2 linked regions of the Canis lupus familiaris genome follow. The protein of the gene in region 1 purifies or fractionates together with the protein of each later gene. This does not show direct contact. Links are inferred from orthologs where the notes say so. Each region holds a gene or a part of one and is shown in the gene's direction. Other genes may lie near its edges.

What was found.
Region 2: the proteins of BIRC3 (region 1) and BCL10 purify together in Homo sapiens (affinity purification with western blotting; 5 studies listed by BioGRID and IntAct, with this or other methods). This does not show direct contact. The link is inferred for Canis lupus familiaris from reciprocal best matches to the Homo sapiens genes BIRC3 and BCL10.

The regions. Positions count from the first base shown.
Region 1 is NC_049226.1:29,475,875-29,480,416, reverse strand, and holds the start of BIRC3 (baculoviral IAP repeat-containing protein 3), read left to right. Parts: upstream 1-1,566; coding exon 1,567-2,419; intron 2,420-2,512; coding exon 2,513-2,612; intron 2,613-4,207; coding exon 4,208-4,286; intron 4,287-4,542. UniProt on the Homo sapiens protein: Multi-functional protein which regulates not only caspases and apoptosis, but also modulates inflammatory signaling and immunity, mitogenic kinase signaling and cell proliferation, as well as cell invasion and metastasis.
Region 2 is NC_049227.1:63,256,657-63,260,907, forward strand, and holds the start of BCL10 (B-cell lymphoma/leukemia 10), read left to right. Parts: upstream 1-1,385; 5' UTR 1,386-1,652; coding exon 1,653-1,709; intron 1,710-4,251. UniProt on the Homo sapiens protein: Plays a key role in both adaptive and innate immune signaling by bridging CARD domain-containing proteins to immune activation.

The DNA.
Region 1 (4,542 bases):
CCATTTGTTCAAATGCGGTGTGATCTCTGAGAAGGGTAACAGTGAGAATGGTGGCGAGGTGGTTAGGTTTTGGGAAATGAACAGAGTTAGCAGAGACAAGGTGCACAGAGACAGTGACTAGCACCAGAAAGGTTTTTGTAGCAAAGAGAAGCAAAGTGAGACATAGTAGCTTAGCTTTTAGGGAAATCATAGCTGGGATGGAGACACATTTCTCATGCCACCTGGAAATAAAGCATTGAAAGTTTGGAGTAGAGGGCCCAGTGTTGGTGGACCTGACATGGATCCCCGCGAGGGAACTCACCACGACTTGTTTGTTGGTCGTTGCTAATATTACAAATAGCTAGTCATAACAGAGGTTTCTGAACTTTTAGAAGGTTTCTGTCAAAAAGAGTAGACTGTGACAAAGTAAATTTATTATTATTTTTTGTTATGATAAATTCTGGTTCACGGTATGCTGTCTGTAAAATTATTTCTGACTAAAGCCAAATTTGTATGATTTGATTATCCATCTTAGCCTACAAATTCAGCACTCTGAATTTTGATTCTTTTAAAAAATAAATCCATCATCAGAATAGAAGATTTAGTCTTGTCTCTCAGCACAAAGCTGTGCCCCAAAAGACCACCTGAGCAAATGCATTCATCTCTGATAATTTATTTGGAATAGAATGTTTAATTTGCTAAGTTCTAGTGCAATCACTGAGTCAGCAACCAAGCTCCGGACTGTGAAAGTAATTATTATTTAGTAAATTTTTAAGCAGGCCTTAAGATGCATCAGCCAATTCTGTTCCTAGTTAGGCTAGATTAGTTAGTTTCTAGATTGTTTTGTTTTCCCCATTAAAATTATTGTAGGAAAAAAAATTACTTGAGCAAGATTTGACATATACTGTATTTCATTGCATCTAAGATGTCATTGTTTATAAGACATACCATTACTTTATATACTTCTTGGAAATAAAAATGCTGCTAATTAGAATGCTATATGCTATTAGTTGTAAGATAACAGAGATATTTAAAAAGTTCATCCTAGAATCAGGGAAATACGGTAGTGCATTCTTCTTTTGAGGTAGGTGTTAGGCTTTTTCTCTTTTTCTGGCTGCGAAATTTCATAAGCAAAACATAGTTAGAATTTTTTTTTTTCTGTAGAGGACTTTCAGAGCATAACTTTCCACCGTGAAGACAAGCAAGCTGCCTAAGCCCCATGTTTTATCTGCAGACTGGTCGAAGGCGTCCATGAGAGCGCTGGCCACCAGGGGGACGCAGACGCTGAGGGCCACCTGCTGACCTACAGGGCTCCATGCTCCTGTGAAGGGTTTTGATTCTCTTTGAGGTGCTGTATTGTCATGCTTGAGCTGCTGTATGAAGATGGTGCAAAGGTGTGGTTGTACGTAATTGTCAGTGTAGAACCAGCATCTCACCACGCCGAAGCCCTGCGTGCACAGGCACGGGCCAATAGGTTTCCTGGTCTGGGGTCCCACTTAGTGAGAAAACCAACCCAAATCTAGAGCCGTGCACAAAACTACCTCCCCCGAGAAAGGCTAGTCCCTTTCCTTCCCTGTCCACCTCACTATGAACATAGTACAAAATAGCATATTCTTGTCAAATCTGCTGAGAAGCAGCCCTGTGTTCGAACTGAAGTACGACCACTCATGTGAACTGTACCGCATGTCCACATACTCGACATTCCCCGCAGGCGTCCCCGTGTCCGAGAGGAGCCTGGCCCGTGCCGGCTTCTACTACACGGGCGCCAAGGACAGGGTCCGGTGCTTCTGCTGCGGCCTGATGCTAGACAACTGGAAGGCTGGGGACAGCCCCACGGGCAAGCACAGAAACCTGTACCCGAGCTGCAGCTTTATCCAGAATCTCAGTGCTGTCAGCACGGTGGGGGCTGCCTCTCAGCCCCCTGCCCCTTTGTCGGAGGCCAGGTCCACACATGCACAATCCCCTGGCCTGGAGCGCAGCAGCTATTTCAGCGCATCCTACTCCAGCTTCCCTGTGGACCCTGTCGACTTCAGACCCAGTCCAGCCATGTCCCCCTGGAGGGCAGGCCCCTCCTGCGTCACCATGAAGAGCGAGGAGGACAGACTGTGCACCTTCCAGGGCTGGCCCCTGGCCTTCCCACTGCCGTCGGCCCTGGCCAGAGCCGGCTTTTACTATGTGGGGCCCGGGGACAGGGTGGCCTGCTTTGCCTGTGGTGGGAAGCTCAGCAACTGGGAGCCGGATGATGATGCTTTGTCGGAACACCTGAGACACTTCCCCGACTGCCCATTTGTGGAAGGTCAGCTTCAAGCCACTGTGAGATATACAGCCTCCAACTTGAGCATGCAAACCCTCGCGGCCCGCTCCAGAACCTTCTGTAACTGGCCACCCCGAGCTCCTGTTCACCCTGAGCAGCTTGCTAGTGCTGGTTTTTATTACATGGGTAAGACACTTCCTCTGTTGTCAGCCTTCATCTCACACATTTTCAATGAGCATATTATATGTATTCATCAGTTTGGTCCACAATTAATTGTAGGTCACAGTGATGATGTCAAGTGCTTCTGCTGTGACGGTGGACTGCGGTGTTGGGAGTCTGGAGACGACCCGTGGGTGGAGCACGCCAAGTGGTTTCCCAGGTTGTTGCTTTGGCACTCTCTTTGCAAGTGTTTGCTGTTATCATCACATAGGTTATATGTGTTCCCCTTAGAATAAGCTGTTGCTCTACTCTGTTTCAAAGATGCACTTGTGAATAAACTTAGGATGGATCACTTAGAAAAATCACTGAACTATTTCGATGGAAGATAGAGGTGTAGGTTTTTTTCTGTATAATGAAAAAATAGATATCTATTTTAAAATGATATATGTTCATCATAGGACAAAAATCACATACTGGAGAAAAGTACAGAGAAAAAAATGTGAACATCCAGAAATCTACCTAAAGAGGACCAGTTAGCATTTTAATGTCTATCCCTGCAGACATCTCTTCATGAATATGTACACATACAGATAAATGTAGATAGGAGTACATGAATTAGATATTATTATATATACTGTTTTGAAACTTTTTTTCAGCCATTCTTATGTTTTGGACTTATTTCCATTTATTCAACATTTAATATTAATTGCTTGTCTTTGGCCAGGGACTGTTCTGATGGTTAAAACACTCAGTTGAACAAAACCAAAATCCTTGGTCTCATAGGTGAATTTAATAGCAAGAGAGGCATACACTTAATTAAAAACTTAATAAATGAGTTACATGGCATGTCAGGAGATAGCAAGTGCTATGGGTAGACAGGAAAAGCAGAGCTGGATACAAAGATTCAGAAGCACCAGGCAGGCCGCAATATTCAATATGATGGTCGGGGTAAATCCAGACCCACCTCATCTGTTTGATCACTACAGAGCATTTTATTGTCAATTCTTACACTTTTGATTGTTCTTTACTTATTTACATTCTCCTTTTTAAAATTGAAATCAGGTAGCTTATGATTATATTTTTGCATGGTCAAAACTTTTGGTGTTTTTAATGTTGCTTACTAAACTCAGTATCCTGATGTATTTTCCTAACGTAAATTGTTAGTATCATACTCTATTTATAGCACCTTTACGTGCCCCAAATATTTCAGATTTCAAAACTCACAAAGATTAGGAAGAACCCCTTACACAGATGTTTTTGAACAGTGCCGCTGGCCTTCCGTGGTGCTGATTTTGTGAATATATACAAAGAAGGGTGAGTTTGCTTTTGGTAGTGTGAGGGGTTCATTTTGTGCTTGAGGTCAACTGTGATGTGTATTATCCAGGAATTGCCAGCTTGTGAAGACCTGACCTATTAGGAAATATGTTCACCTTCGTCATTACTTCTCTTGTCCCTCTTTGTATATTGTTAACTTTTAAACCTACAAACCTTATGAGTGAACAGTGTCATTTCTTAGAGAGCTTTCTACCTATTTCCTCAGCTCAATGTTCAGAGCATCTATATCAGTCTTCAAACTTTTGAAGAGGGCAGCTGGGAGCTCTCAGTGGAGGCAGCCTACCTTGCCGCCAGGAGGACTGAGCATCTCATGACCCTTGTAGCTTCGGCTACAGCAGAACAGTCCATGCAGGCTCTCTTGCTTATGGCATCTCGCCTTTACTGTAGTATGTGAAATGAATGTTCACACAAAATATTTAACAGGCTACAGATGGTGGGATTTAAATTAACCCCCCAAACTTAATTTTGTTTACGTTTTAGGTGTGAGTACTTGATACGCATCAAAGGACAAGAGTTCATCAGTCAGATTCAAGCCAGTTACCCTCATCTACTTGAACAAGTAGGGATGGTTCTTTTTTTTTTTAGATCATTGGTTAACAACAGATAAATTATTTTCTGATAATTACAGAGAGTAGTACACCAATTTAGTGAAAAGATAAGAGTTGTTTTAAAAATATGTTTCATTTTTAAAAATACCCAACATGGTCTTAGAACTATTCTTTGGATAAAAACAGATTCAGAATTCAAGACGTCCTAAAAAATAATATGTGAGGGATGGCTCTAAGTATTTCTTTAATAAAATTGCAATAAATTAA
Region 2 (4,251 bases), on another chromosome or scaffold:
ATCAGATAAAACTGTACTGTGGATCAATGTAGGAAAAGACACATGATGTAATGTAAATGTTAGAAGCTTATGATGGAGCCCGAAGCTGCTAAGAGACATCTGTGTGGCTTTGGCAACATTGTCCTTTTCTGGTTCTTTTGCTTTCCCTTCCTTTAAATGTTAGAGTTCTCAAGAGGTATCCCACTGGCTGGTTCTGTGGGTAGAGCATGTAACTCTTGATACTGGGTTGTGAGTTCAAGCCTCATGTTGGGTGTAGAGTTTACTTTCAAAAAATGTTGGACTTCCCAAGTTTGTCTTTGTCTATCTACCTCTTGTCCTGTCTACCCTCACTGCTTCAAATACCACGGAGTTTATTCAGCATGTTGTCCAAACCATTGTCTTGGGCCCATTGTCTTGTGTTTTGAACTTCTCATCCACATTATTCATTCTTTTTTTAAAAAAAAATATTTTATTTAGTTATTCATGAGAGACACACAGAGAGAAGCAGAGACAGAAGCAGGCTCCTTGTGGGAAGCCCGATCCTGGACTGGATCCCAGGACCCCAGGATCACCACCTGAGCCAAAGGCAGATGCTCAACCACTGAGCCACCCAGGTGTCCCCATTCTTCATTATTCATGTTGTTCTGTATACACTTCCATTAGTAGTTAGATACCATTCTGGGCGTAGTTGTCTGCTTATCAGTCTCCCCCATAAAAATAGAATTCTTCTAAGATAAGATGACTAGACATATTAGTAAGGACTCAATAAGTGTTTGGGTAGTAAAAGATCATCATAAACGGAGTTCATACTGTATGCCAAGTACCTCTGAGAACCTTACATATATAGTATCATTTAATTCTCACAGCAGCCCATAAGGGATGTAAGGTAGACATCCCTTCATCACACAGATGGAACAAATAAGGAAACAGGATCATAAAAAAGTGACCAAAAAGCATGCTGACGTTAAATCGAGTGCTAAAATGAAAGGATTATAGGCGGTTTTTCTCTTTCAAAAATGTCTTGACAAAAAAAAAAAAGTCTTGACTATTGCAGCGGAGCTGCCCGCGGGCCGCGTCCGAGCAGGCGGGTATCTAACCCCACAGCTTCAGTAGGTTAAGGCAGCGGCCGGAAGCTGCGGGGCGGGGTCTGGGGAAAGGGGAGGAGCCCGGGGGGGACGGTCCGGCAGAGACCCGCCTCCGCCGGCGAGCGGTCCGCAAAGGCGGGGCCTGCGGCGGGAGGAGCCTCGGGCCCCACCCACGGAAACGCTCCCGGCAAAGGACGCGCGGGGGCTGTGGGCGGGGCCGGGGGCGGGGCCAGGCTCGGGCCCCGGGCCGGCAGCGATTGGCTCCCGCTGGGAGGGGGCGGGCCCCACGGCCAGCCCCGCCTCGTCGGGGGGCGGGGCCTGCGCCGGCGCCTCCGGGAGAGGAAGGAGCGCAGCGCGGAGCCCGCTGGGGGACGCCCAGGTCTGCGGCGCCCTCGGCCCCAGAGGCGGAGCCGGAAGCTCTACGGGCTCGTCCGTGAGCCTCTGTTTTGGAAGCGGCAGCCCTCTTCCTCTCGACCCGCTCCGCCTGCCCTTGTCGCCGCTTCACCCGGAGGCCCGAGTCCCCTGCCTGGCCGGGCGGTGCCGCCGCAGCTCCCGGACCCGGAAGAGGCGCTACCCCGCTCCTCCGCCATGGAGCCCGCTGCGCCGTCCCTCACCGAGGAGGACCTGACCGAAGTGAAGAAGGACGTGAGTAGCCAGCCTTGCCCGGGCGCCGCCGAGGGCCGGGGGTCGCGGGTGGGCAGGGGCAGGCCCGGCCGGGCGGGCGGGCGAGGAGAGCGGAAACGCGGAGTGGGAGTCCGAGCCGGAGAGGAGCAGGAGCCTGCGGGTCCGAGGGGCTCCAGGTCCGGGCGCTGCTGCACGACGGCGCCCGAGGGACCTCGGTGGAAGCGACCCCTCGTGACCTGTTAATCCACGTTTAGGTCGCTGGGTTCTGAAACCCTGTCCAGTGGAGCGTTTCACCGCACTCAGCTTCTTGCCGACTCTCCACTCCTCCCCGGGGATCTCTACCCCCCACCCCTGCGCTTTGGGGCCGCGTCGTCGGGAGTCGACTGCCCAGGTTCCGCCTTGAGTCACACTCCCTAGGCTGCTGGCCCAACCTGGAGCGACAGCTGGACCCGAGAAAGGCTCCAAGCAGTGGAGCAAATATGTGAAACTCTCTTATAAAGGGGGGTTGGGGGAAGCTCAACAGCTGAAAGCACAACCTGGAATTCCCCTAGTAAGCAAACGCCCACATATTTAAATTGGGGGGTGGGTGTAGCCGAAAATTAATTTACAGGTAAATGCTGAAAATATTCAGTACCTAAATTATGCCCTTTTGCTTGGATGCTGCAGAACTGCACAAATCTTAGTACTTATTTGTTGAGGTATCTCGTTTCTTTTGCTTTTAATTACTTGTTTTGCCACGTGAGACCTGTAGGAGTACCCCCAAAATACTTCGTGTAATTTCGAATTAAAACCAGAAACCCAACAGAAAATGAGTTCTGCAGCACTTAATACAGAATTATATTTGTGAACTGGACAAGACAGCAGCTTTTTTAGATGTTCATCTACCTTAGATGCTTACCCCCTTTTCTCCCTTGAAAGGTTTATTACACTGCACTCATAATTACATAATGACAATTGGAATGACTCATTAACAGAAGGAAACTGGATATGACAGGGATTTGTGCCTTAGTTTGCTCATTCAGCGATACAGATGGAGCGCTTAGTATATGGAAGGCACTGTCCTTGGGCCTGGAAAGATACAAAAAAAAAAAAGATAATCTGGCCTCTGCTTTATATTCTAGTCGAGATAAAACCGGGACATTGATAACTACCACAGAATAAATGAGTGTTGTCTTATATAAGATTGGTGCCAGTGGAACCATGCACTTCAAGAGCTAAGCCTGTGGTGTTCCAAAATCTTTGTCACATAATTTGCAATGTTCCCATTTAATCTTTACAGCAGTGCTGTGAGAGGTTACAGTTGGGCATAAATATAAAACCTGTACACAAACACAGTTGTGAAGAGTGTCTTCCAGGTCTCTTTTTTATTTATTTATTTATTTATTTTTTCTCTTTTTTTTTATATATTTTTTCATTTATTCATGAGAGACACAGAGAGAGAGAGGCAGGCAGAGACACAGGCAGAGGGAGAAGCAGGCTCCATGCAGGGAGCCCGATGTGGGACTGGATCCCAGGTCTCCAGGACCACGCCCTGTGCAAAGGCAGGCACTAAACCATTGAGTCATCCAGGGATCCCCAGTCTTCAGGTCTTTATTCACTTTTTTTCCCTGTCAGTTCATTGATACTATCCATCTCCATGATTTCAATTTACAGCTATCTCAGCAATTCATAATCTTGGGGAATCATGAAGGGGTCTCAGGAGGTCTATGAAAAAAATGTATGTGCACATTTTTTTTCTTAGAGATTTTTTTCATGCTATTTTCAAAATGGTTGATGACCTCAGTCTTAAAATTATCATACAAATATTTGCACTTCCTTCTTTGTCAACTCTAGATGCTTGTTTCCAAATATCTACTGGAAATTTACTTTTATGTTCTGTACACTCCTCATCTTGTCAGAAATTGAACTTTTTATCATCCCTTCCCCAAAGCTGCTTGCTATATTCTCTGTCTTGATGGATAGTATGCCACCACCCCAGCCTTCTGGAAAGTCCCACTCTTTCATTATGCTCCTCCCTTCCCCCTGCCCCCATCAACTTGTTTACCTCATCTTTTGGATTACATGCTGCTGTGAGGTATGCATGGTTCTAACAATTCGAAAATTAGAAATTAAGACGCAATCCCAGTTTGAAAAGAGCTTAATTTCCTGGAAGGAGGGAAACAGACATAAATTAATAATTGCAAATTACAGAATAAGTGCAATGAATTTTGCATTCATCTAGAACACTATCTACTTGACACTCTGCTAAGTGCAGGATATACAGAGTTGAACAAAACAAATGTGGTTTTTGCCTGCTTCAAACATATAGGTCATTAAGGTTGAAGACAAATATATGCTTACAAATTATGCTAAGTACTATGAAGGAGACAAACAGGTATTGAGACAGTAGCAGGGGGAATCAACTTGACATAGGACGGTCAGGGAAGGTTACATTTAAAGTGGTTGCTGAAGAATATAGCAGAACTGGGGCAATAATCCTCTAGGCAGAGTAAGGTTTGTAAAGGAACTAAAACAGGCAAGACCTTGGTGACTTGGGGAAATTGGAAACAGGCAGAGGGTGCTC